Cricetulus griseus: one gene and its partner. Each later gene encodes a partner of the first gene's protein in a complex. Links are inferred from orthologs where the notes say so. Each region holds a gene or a part of one and is shown in the gene's direction. Other genes may lie near its edges.

What was found.
Region 2: Lrp5 (region 1) and frizzled-8 share a complex: the UniProt entries of both Homo sapiens proteins name them as parts of the wnt-signaling complex. The link is inferred for Cricetulus griseus from reciprocal best matches to the Homo sapiens genes LRP5 and FZD8.

Annotation. Positions count from the first base shown.
Region 1 is NC_048596.1:55,621,646-55,625,455, forward strand, and holds part of Lrp5 (low-density lipoprotein receptor-related protein 5), read left to right. Parts: intron 1-1,204; coding exon 1,205-1,431; intron 1,432-2,486; coding exon 2,487-2,671; intron 2,672-3,810. UniProt on the Homo sapiens protein: Acts as a coreceptor with members of the frizzled family of seven-transmembrane spanning receptors to transduce signal by Wnt proteins.
Region 2 is NC_048596.1:205,980,520-205,984,789, reverse strand, and holds frizzled-8, read left to right. Parts: upstream 1-1,405; coding exon 1,406-3,460; downstream 3,461-4,270. UniProt on the Homo sapiens protein: Receptor for Wnt proteins. Component of the Wnt-Fzd-LRP5-LRP6 complex that triggers beta-catenin signaling through inducing aggregation of receptor-ligand complexes into ribosome-sized signalosomes.

The DNA of each region.
Region 1 (3,810 bases):
CAAGAGGATTGCCATGAGTTTGAGACTAGCCTGGACTGTCCTGATTCAAGAAAGGGGGACTGGGGGTAGGGAGGTACAGAGAAACAAGATCACCTGTATCTGAAGCTACTATTTATTTGCTTGTGGTTATTTACTTATTTATTTTTAATGTTTAATTTCATTTATGTGTCTGTGGAGACCAGAAAAAGGTGTCAGATCTTCTGAAGCTGCAATTACAGTTATGAGATGCTTGATGTGGGTGCTGGAAACAAAATTTGGGTCCTCTGCAAGAGTAGCATTCACTTGTGACCACTAAGTCATCTCTCCAGTCCTTTCCTAATTCTCTCTCTCTCTCTCTCTCTCTCTCTCCTCCCTCCCTCTCTTTCTCTCTCTTTGGTTTTTTGAGACCATGTTTCCCTGTGCGATCTTGCTCTGTATACTAGGCTGGCCTCCAACTCAAGAGATTGCCTGCCTGTTGAGATTAAAGGCATACACCACTCCTCTTGGCAGTTTTTTTTTTTTTTTTCCATTTTTAAAGAAATGACTTGGAAGTCAAAAGATGAGGGTGTTTGGTGCCCTGAACTAGACTTACAGGTGGTTGAAGGCTATCATGTGGGTGTTGGGAACTGTTTGTTCCTCTACAAGACCAACAAGTGCTCTTAATCCCCGGGCTAACTTTCCAGCCTCACTCCGTTTCTAATTGTTAACAGTTCCTAAAGCAGTTTCATGTTTGAAAATTTCCTTGCCATGCACATACATACATACATACATACATACATACATGATTTTATTTTACATATGTACATTTATGTCTGTGACTATATGAGCATATATGTGTCCAGTGTACACAGAGGCCAGATGACAGTGTCCATTCCTCTGAAATAGTTACAAGTGTCTATGAGCTGTCTGTAGGAGCCAGAATCTGAATTCTGGTTCTCACGATTGAGCAGCAAGTGCTCTTAACCTCTGAACCATCTCTCAGTGCAGTCTTCTATATTTTTATTCCTTCCCAGATTCAAGTATGATTACTGGGTGGAGTGTTTTCTAGATTCTCCATCTGTGTAAAATCACACACATGGACATGCACAAATATCCAAGTTGCTTTTTCTACGGAAGTCATCTTCCTGCCTTTCAGTTATCTGTTTGGTGAGTCTGCTGTCTCCTGGTTGATGTCTACAAAAGATGATGGATCCTAACATGGCCCTTTCCATCCTCACCCTCCCAGACTATCAGCCGAGCCTTCATGAATGGGAGCTCAGTGGAACACGTGATTGAGTTTGGCCTAGACTACCCTGAAGGAATGGCTGTGGACTGGATGGGCAAGAACCTTTACTGGGCTGACACAGGGACCAATAGGATAGAGGTGGCCCGGCTGGATGGGCAGTTCCGTCAGGTGCTTGTGTGGAAAGACCTTGACAACCCCAGGTCTCTGGCGCTGGATCCTACTAAAGGGTAAGCACTGTTATTGCCTGTCACTCGATCCAGGCCCTGTCCATCTGTTCACAAGTGCCTCTGTGTTGAAGTCACTGCCTCCCCCTTCCTAGCTCTTTATGCTTACAGCATTGAAGCCACTGTCAGCCACAGACCTCTGGCTGCTTTCACATGGACTGTCTTTATTTATTTATTTTTTAAGATTTTTTTTTAATTTATTATGTATATAATGTTCTGCCTGCATGTATGCCTGCAGGCTGGAAGAGGGCACAAGATCTCATTATGGATGATTGTGAGCCACCATGTGGTTGCTGGGAATTGAACTCAGGTTCTCTGGAAGAGCCGTCAGTGCTCTTAACCCCTGAGCCATTTCTCCAGCCCCACATGGGCTGTCTTAAGTAACACTTAGGCTACCCTGGAAGCTGGAGCCCGGTGGGCCAAATGCAGTCTCTTTCTAGTCCCAAGTGTCCCTTGTCGTGCAGGGCACATACTCACCCCATAGAGAGTCCATATTGTCATGGGGGACAACTGAATCCTGTCCCATGCCTGGAACACAGGCAGGATGGCAGGAGGAAGACAAATGTCCAGATGGTTACCAAGGCCAAGAAAATTTTCCAAGCCTTTGAATGTGAGCATCTTTCTCAGATATGCAGAGGAAGAGGAGGAAGGGGCCCTCTGTGTTGTGTTATCCCTAGTCAGGGTTTTCACTCTATGAGAGAAGAAGCTCCATCCATCTGAATTTGCCCACATCTCTCTTGAGTGACAGGACACACCAGCAATCAGCCACCTTAGTTAAGATATGTTGCCTGCTTAGACAACCTTGTCTGATGGCCTCCTCTACTTGTCCTGTGTTGGCTGCTCGAGAGTTCTTCCTGGCCCCTGGGGAGAGCCAGAGCTATGGCTGAAGCACAGCTGAAACTGGCTCCTTTTTATTTCCTGGGGTTCTATCATTGACTGACTTCCCTCAGAGCAAGGGGGCTGAGTCTAGGAGATGGTGGCTACTCTTTTCCCCAAACCCTGCATTAAGCCAGAACTCACCTGAGCCCTGCCCATCTTTCCTCTCCTGTACTTTCCAGCTACATCTATTGGACTGAGTGGGGCGGCAAGCCGAGGATCGTGCGGGCCTTCATGGATGGGACCAATTGCATGACGCTGGTAGACAAGGTGGGCCGGGCCAATGACCTCACTATTGACTACGCCGACCAGCGACTGTACTGGACTGACCTGGACACCAACATGATTGAGTCCTCCAACATGCTGGGTGAGGGCTGGTGACCTCAGGGCTGTGGTATGGGCGCTGAGTGGCAGGGCTCTGGTTTCACTCTCCTTACACATGCTAGGCTACTCTGGATTATGAACCACTTGGCATCCCAAAGGTATGGGCATAGCCACAAGCATTCTTCTCTCTCTTGTATATCTCCATCTATCCCTGGTATCCTGAGCCAGGAGTGGTATTTCACCCTCTACCACATGGTAGTCCTTTTTATTAGTGGGGAAACTGAGACTGGATATGTCATAGGACTTGTCTGAGATCACCCAGCAAGGCTACTTTAGATATCCTCAGGGCCAGATTTGTCCTCTGTCACCCAGTAGCATAAGCTCCTCCTCGATGGCCGTACCCTCCTAATCTTTGTATTTAAAAGCTAAGTTTTAAATACATGGTATTCGTCTTTTAGGATCTGAATATTTTTGTGCATGTTTTTGCTTTTTAGAAATAATTTTCGGCTAGGATGTAGCTCTGTTGGTAGAGTGCTAGCTGAGCATGCATGAAACCTATGGGTTTTGTCCCCATCCCCTGCATCACATAAACTAAGTGCGACAATATAGCCTATAATCCCAGGACTCAGGAGGTGGAGGCAAGAGGTCATCTGTGGTAACATAGGGAACTTGAAGCTAGCCTGGGATGCACAAGGCTGGCCGGCCGGCTGGCTGGCTGACTGGGTGGGTGGATGGATAAATAGATAGATAGAGACCTGGTTTTTGATTGTTTTAAGACAGGGTTTCTCTGTTGTGTGCCCCTCACTGCTCAAGAACTAGTTCTGTAGACCAGGGTGGCCTCAAACTCATGAAGATCTGCCTGCTTCGCCTCTCAAGTGCTGGGATTAATGTGTCTGTCACCACTGCCGGGCTGTTGAGAGCTGTTTTTGAAAATAACTTTCCTTTAAGTTATACTACTTATGTTTTTCTGCTTTTTCTGATATGACAAGCTTGTTCTCGTATCACAAGCTTATTTTCGTTAGTACTATTTGTGCCTTGACTAAAACACATGAAGAGACATGGGCCTGCAGCACCAGAGTATAAAGTGTAGATGTGCAGGCTGGACCTGTGCCTGGTCCAGGGGCTCTGAGAATCTTTAGGCTCCTTCCTTGCCTAGAACCTTGTTCTAGAACCTTGTTTTAG
Region 2 (4,270 bases), about 150 Mb from region 1:
AAGGCCCCAAAGTACTCATGGGCTGTCCATGACCAAACCTGATCATCTAACTGCAACAGAAGTAGCACTACATCACCAAATCTCCAAGTCTGAAAAGTCCTCGTTATGAGAATCCGAAGAGGCCATCCCTCCCTAAATACCCCAGCTTCGGGTCTGGACCAGCCTTAGAGCCCTCGTTGCGCTTCCGAGGCCCTCCAGAACCAGCAGGTGTTGTCCATGGACCGAGACTAGCTGGATCTTGACAGGTTCAGAGAGCCATGGGAGGTGCACGCACTACCGAACACTGTCTCAGGAAGTCCCCGGGTGCAGACTCGGAGAAATTCGATCAGGATCTCTGAAGCGCTGAGCTCTTTGGGGACAGTCTGGGTGAATGCTCAATTTTTGCGGTCAATTCCAAGGTGACCAAACTCTCCATCCGCCCTAACCCAGAAAAGCAGTGGCTGAACTACGGACTTCCTTAAGGAAGGCTGAGCCTTGAGAGCACATAGACTCCGCCCCACCGCCCAGTGATTGGTGATCCCAGAAGGGGGCGGAGACCCAGAACAAGCTCTATAAATATTCATGAGCCGGCCTGGAGGTGCTAGCTGACTGGAGCCGGGAAGTTGGGCGAAGGGCGCAGCTCCTGCGGAGGAGGAGGTGGCTGCTGGCGCAGACCACGGCCCTCAGGTGTCCCCTTGCCTTTTGCTCTGTGTTTGTTTGTCGGTCTCGCAAGAAGGCACAGCCTGCACCCTGACCGACTGTGACCACTAGAAAGCGACGTGGACTTTCGGCGGCGGCAGATGCAGGAGGACCGACTGGGACCGACGCGGGAGTGAGAAGGCGGCGGCCTGACCAGCGGAGGGCCCGGAACTCTGGCAGTGGCGGCGCGGCCTGGGACGGACATGAACCCTCGGGGCCCAAAGAGGGGCCGCTAGGTCTGACCCCAGAGGCGAGCGGCCAGGCACAGCCATCTTGACTGCGGCCCGAAAGGAAACTTGCTGCGCGCCGCCCTCTGAGCCTCCGCTGCTGGGCGCCACGCGAAGTGGCTGGGTGTGCAGGAGGACCTGCGCGAGCTCTGGACGATGAGCCCAGGGGCCACCACTCTGCTCCGGGAGGGCTGAGTGCCACCCAGAGGGCGTAGGGCAGACCCTGTGGAACTGTGGCGCGCTTGCGGTCACCCTCGCCCCAGGAGAGGCACGGGGGGGCGGGGAGGGCCGGACGACTTCTGCCTAAGCTTGCGACCCTGCTGCCACAGACGCTGCCCAAGAAAGGGCTAGATTGTTGGCCGATTCTCAGCTCCTCGGGAAGAAGCCGCACAAGACCCGCTGGTCGCCTGCTCTCCCTTTCCTCCGATTCCTCGCTGGGTCCCCTAGAGCCCTAGTGCGCGCCGCCTAGAGGAGGACGACGTGGGGCCGCGGCGCGCAGCATGGAGTGGGGTTACCTGTTGGAAGTGACCTCGCTGCTAGCCGCCTTGGCGCTGCTGCAGCGCTCCAGCGGCGCCGCCGCCGCTTCGGCCAAGGAGCTGGCGTGCCAGGAGATCACGGTGCCGCTGTGCAAGGGCATCGGTTACAACTACACCTACATGCCCAACCAGTTCAACCACGACACACAAGACGAGGCGGGCCTGGAAGTGCACCAGTTCTGGCCGCTGGTGGAGATCCAGTGCTCCCCCGACCTCAAGTTCTTTCTGTGCAGCATGTACACGCCCATCTGCCTGGAAGACTACAAGAAGCCTCTGCCGCCTTGCCGCTCGGTGTGCGAACGCGCCAAGGCCGGCTGCGCGCCGCTCATGCGCCAGTACGGTTTCGCCTGGCCTGACCGCATGCGCTGCGACCGGCTGCCCGAGCAGGGCAACCCGGACACACTGTGCATGGACTACAACCGCACCGACCTCACCACGGCCGCGCCCAGCCCACCGCGCCGCCTGCCGCCGCCGCCGCCGGGCGAGCAGCCGCCCTCCGGCAGCGGCCACGGCCGCCCGCCAGGGGCCAGGCCCCCACACCGTGGGGGTGGCAGTAGGGGCAGCGGGGACACGGCGGCTGCGCCCCCCTCGCGCGGCGGGAAGGCGAGGCCCCCTAGTGGTGGCGCGGCTCCCTGCGAGCCCGGGTGCCAGTGCCGCGCGCCGATGGTGAGCGTGTCCAGTGAACGCCACCCCCTCTACAACCGCGTCAAGACCGGCCAGATCGCCAACTGTGCGCTGCCCTGCCATAACCCCTTCTTCAGCCAGGATGAACGCGCCTTCACCGTCTTCTGGATCGGCCTGTGGTCGGTGCTCTGCTTCGTCTCTACCTTCGCCACCGTCTCCACCTTCCTCATCGATATGGAGCGCTTCAAGTACCCTGAGCGGCCCATCATCTTCCTCTCCGCCTGCTACCTCTTCGTGTCAGTCGGGTACCTAGTGCGCCTGGTGGCAGGGCACGAGAAGGTGGCCTGCAGCGGTGGCGCTCCGGGTGCGGGCGGAGCTGGGGGTGCTGGCAGCGCCGCGGCGGCTGGCGCGGGGGCGGCGGGAGCGGGGGCGAGCGGCCCGGGCGCGCGCGGCGAGTACGAGGAGCTGGGAGCCGTGGAGCAGCACGTGCGCTATGAGACCACTGGCCCCGCGCTGTGCACGGTGGTCTTCCTCCTTGTCTACTTCTTTGGCATGGCCAGCTCCATCTGGTGGGTAATCCTGTCGCTCACGTGGTTCCTGGCGGCTGGCATGAAGTGGGGCAACGAGGCCATCGCAGGCTATTCGCAGTACTTCCACCTGGCCGCGTGGCTGGTGCCCAGCGTCAAGTCCATCGCGGTGTTGGCGCTCAGCTCCGTGGACGGCGACCCGGTGGCAGGCATCTGCTACGTGGGCAACCAGAGCCTCGACAACCTGCGCGGCTTCGTGCTGGCACCACTGGTCATCTACCTCTTCATTGGCACCATGTTTCTGTTGGCTGGTTTCGTGTCGCTGTTTCGAATCCGCTCGGTCATCAAGCAACAAGGAGGCCCAACCAAGACACACAAGCTGGAGAAGCTCATGATCCGCCTGGGCCTCTTCACTGTGCTCTACACGGTGCCTGCCGCCGTCGTTGTCGCCTGCCTTTTCTATGAGCAGCACAACCGTCCACGCTGGGAGGCCACTCACAACTGCCCATGCCTTCGGGACCTGCAGCCCGACCAGGCACGCAGGCCCGATTATGCGGTCTTCATGCTCAAGTACTTCATGTGTCTGGTAGTGGGCATCACGTCGGGCGTGTGGGTCTGGTCCGGCAAGACTCTGGAGTCCTGGCGTGCGCTGTGCACTCGCTGCTGCTGGGCCAGCAAGGGCGCAGCCGTAGGCGCGGGAGCCGGAGGCGGCGGCCCGGGGGGCGGCGGTCCGGGGCCTGGTGGGGGTGGGGGACCCGGCGGAGGCGGGGGATCTCTCTACAGCGACGTCAGCACCGGCCTGACGTGGCGGTCTGGCACGGCCAGCTCCATGTCTTACCCTAAGCAGATGCCATTGTCCCAGGTCTGAACCCTGAGCGGACGCCCAGAAGGGGCGGAGAGGGGTGGGGGATGGGGAGCCCGAGGGCGGCGAAGGGACCCCAGATCGGCCGGGGTTCCCACCCCTTCACCGTGTTGATTGCTATTAGCATGATAATGAACTCTTAATGGTATCCATTAGCCGCTGGGACTTAAATGACTCACTCAGAACAAAGTACCTGGCATTGAAGCCTCCCAGACCCAGCCCCTCCCCTCCGACGCTCCGGAGCGCCTCCCCCAGGCAGTGGTTTCAGTCGTCTAGGAGAGTTGGAACCCTCCTGGGTACCCTGGCTAAGCCTTGAGGTCAAGCTACACACTTCACCCAAGGGACTGCTTCACCCTCGACCCCCGCCTGCATAAATTCACTCCTCATACACCCTGGAGGAGGGACGACTGCTACCTTGTGGGATTGCACGGTTTGGGTATTCTTAATGACCAGGCAGATGCCTTAAATAAACAAGAAATGTCTTAATTATACACCCCAAGTAAATACGGGTTTCTTACATTAGAGGATGTATTTATATAATTATTTGTTAAATTGTAAAAAAAAAAGAAAAAGAAAAAGAAAAGTGTAAAGTATGTATATATCCAAAGATATACAATGTGTACATTATTTGTAAAAAGTTTAGAGGCTACCCCTGTAAGAACAAATATAAGTATTCTATTTTGTCAATAAAATGACTTTTGATAAATGATTTAAATACCACCCTGTCCCCCGACTTTTCTGAACTGTTCCCCTTATGCTTGCTGAGGACATGTGGGGAAGCGGACATTTTCTGGCTTGCCATTCTGTACACTGATT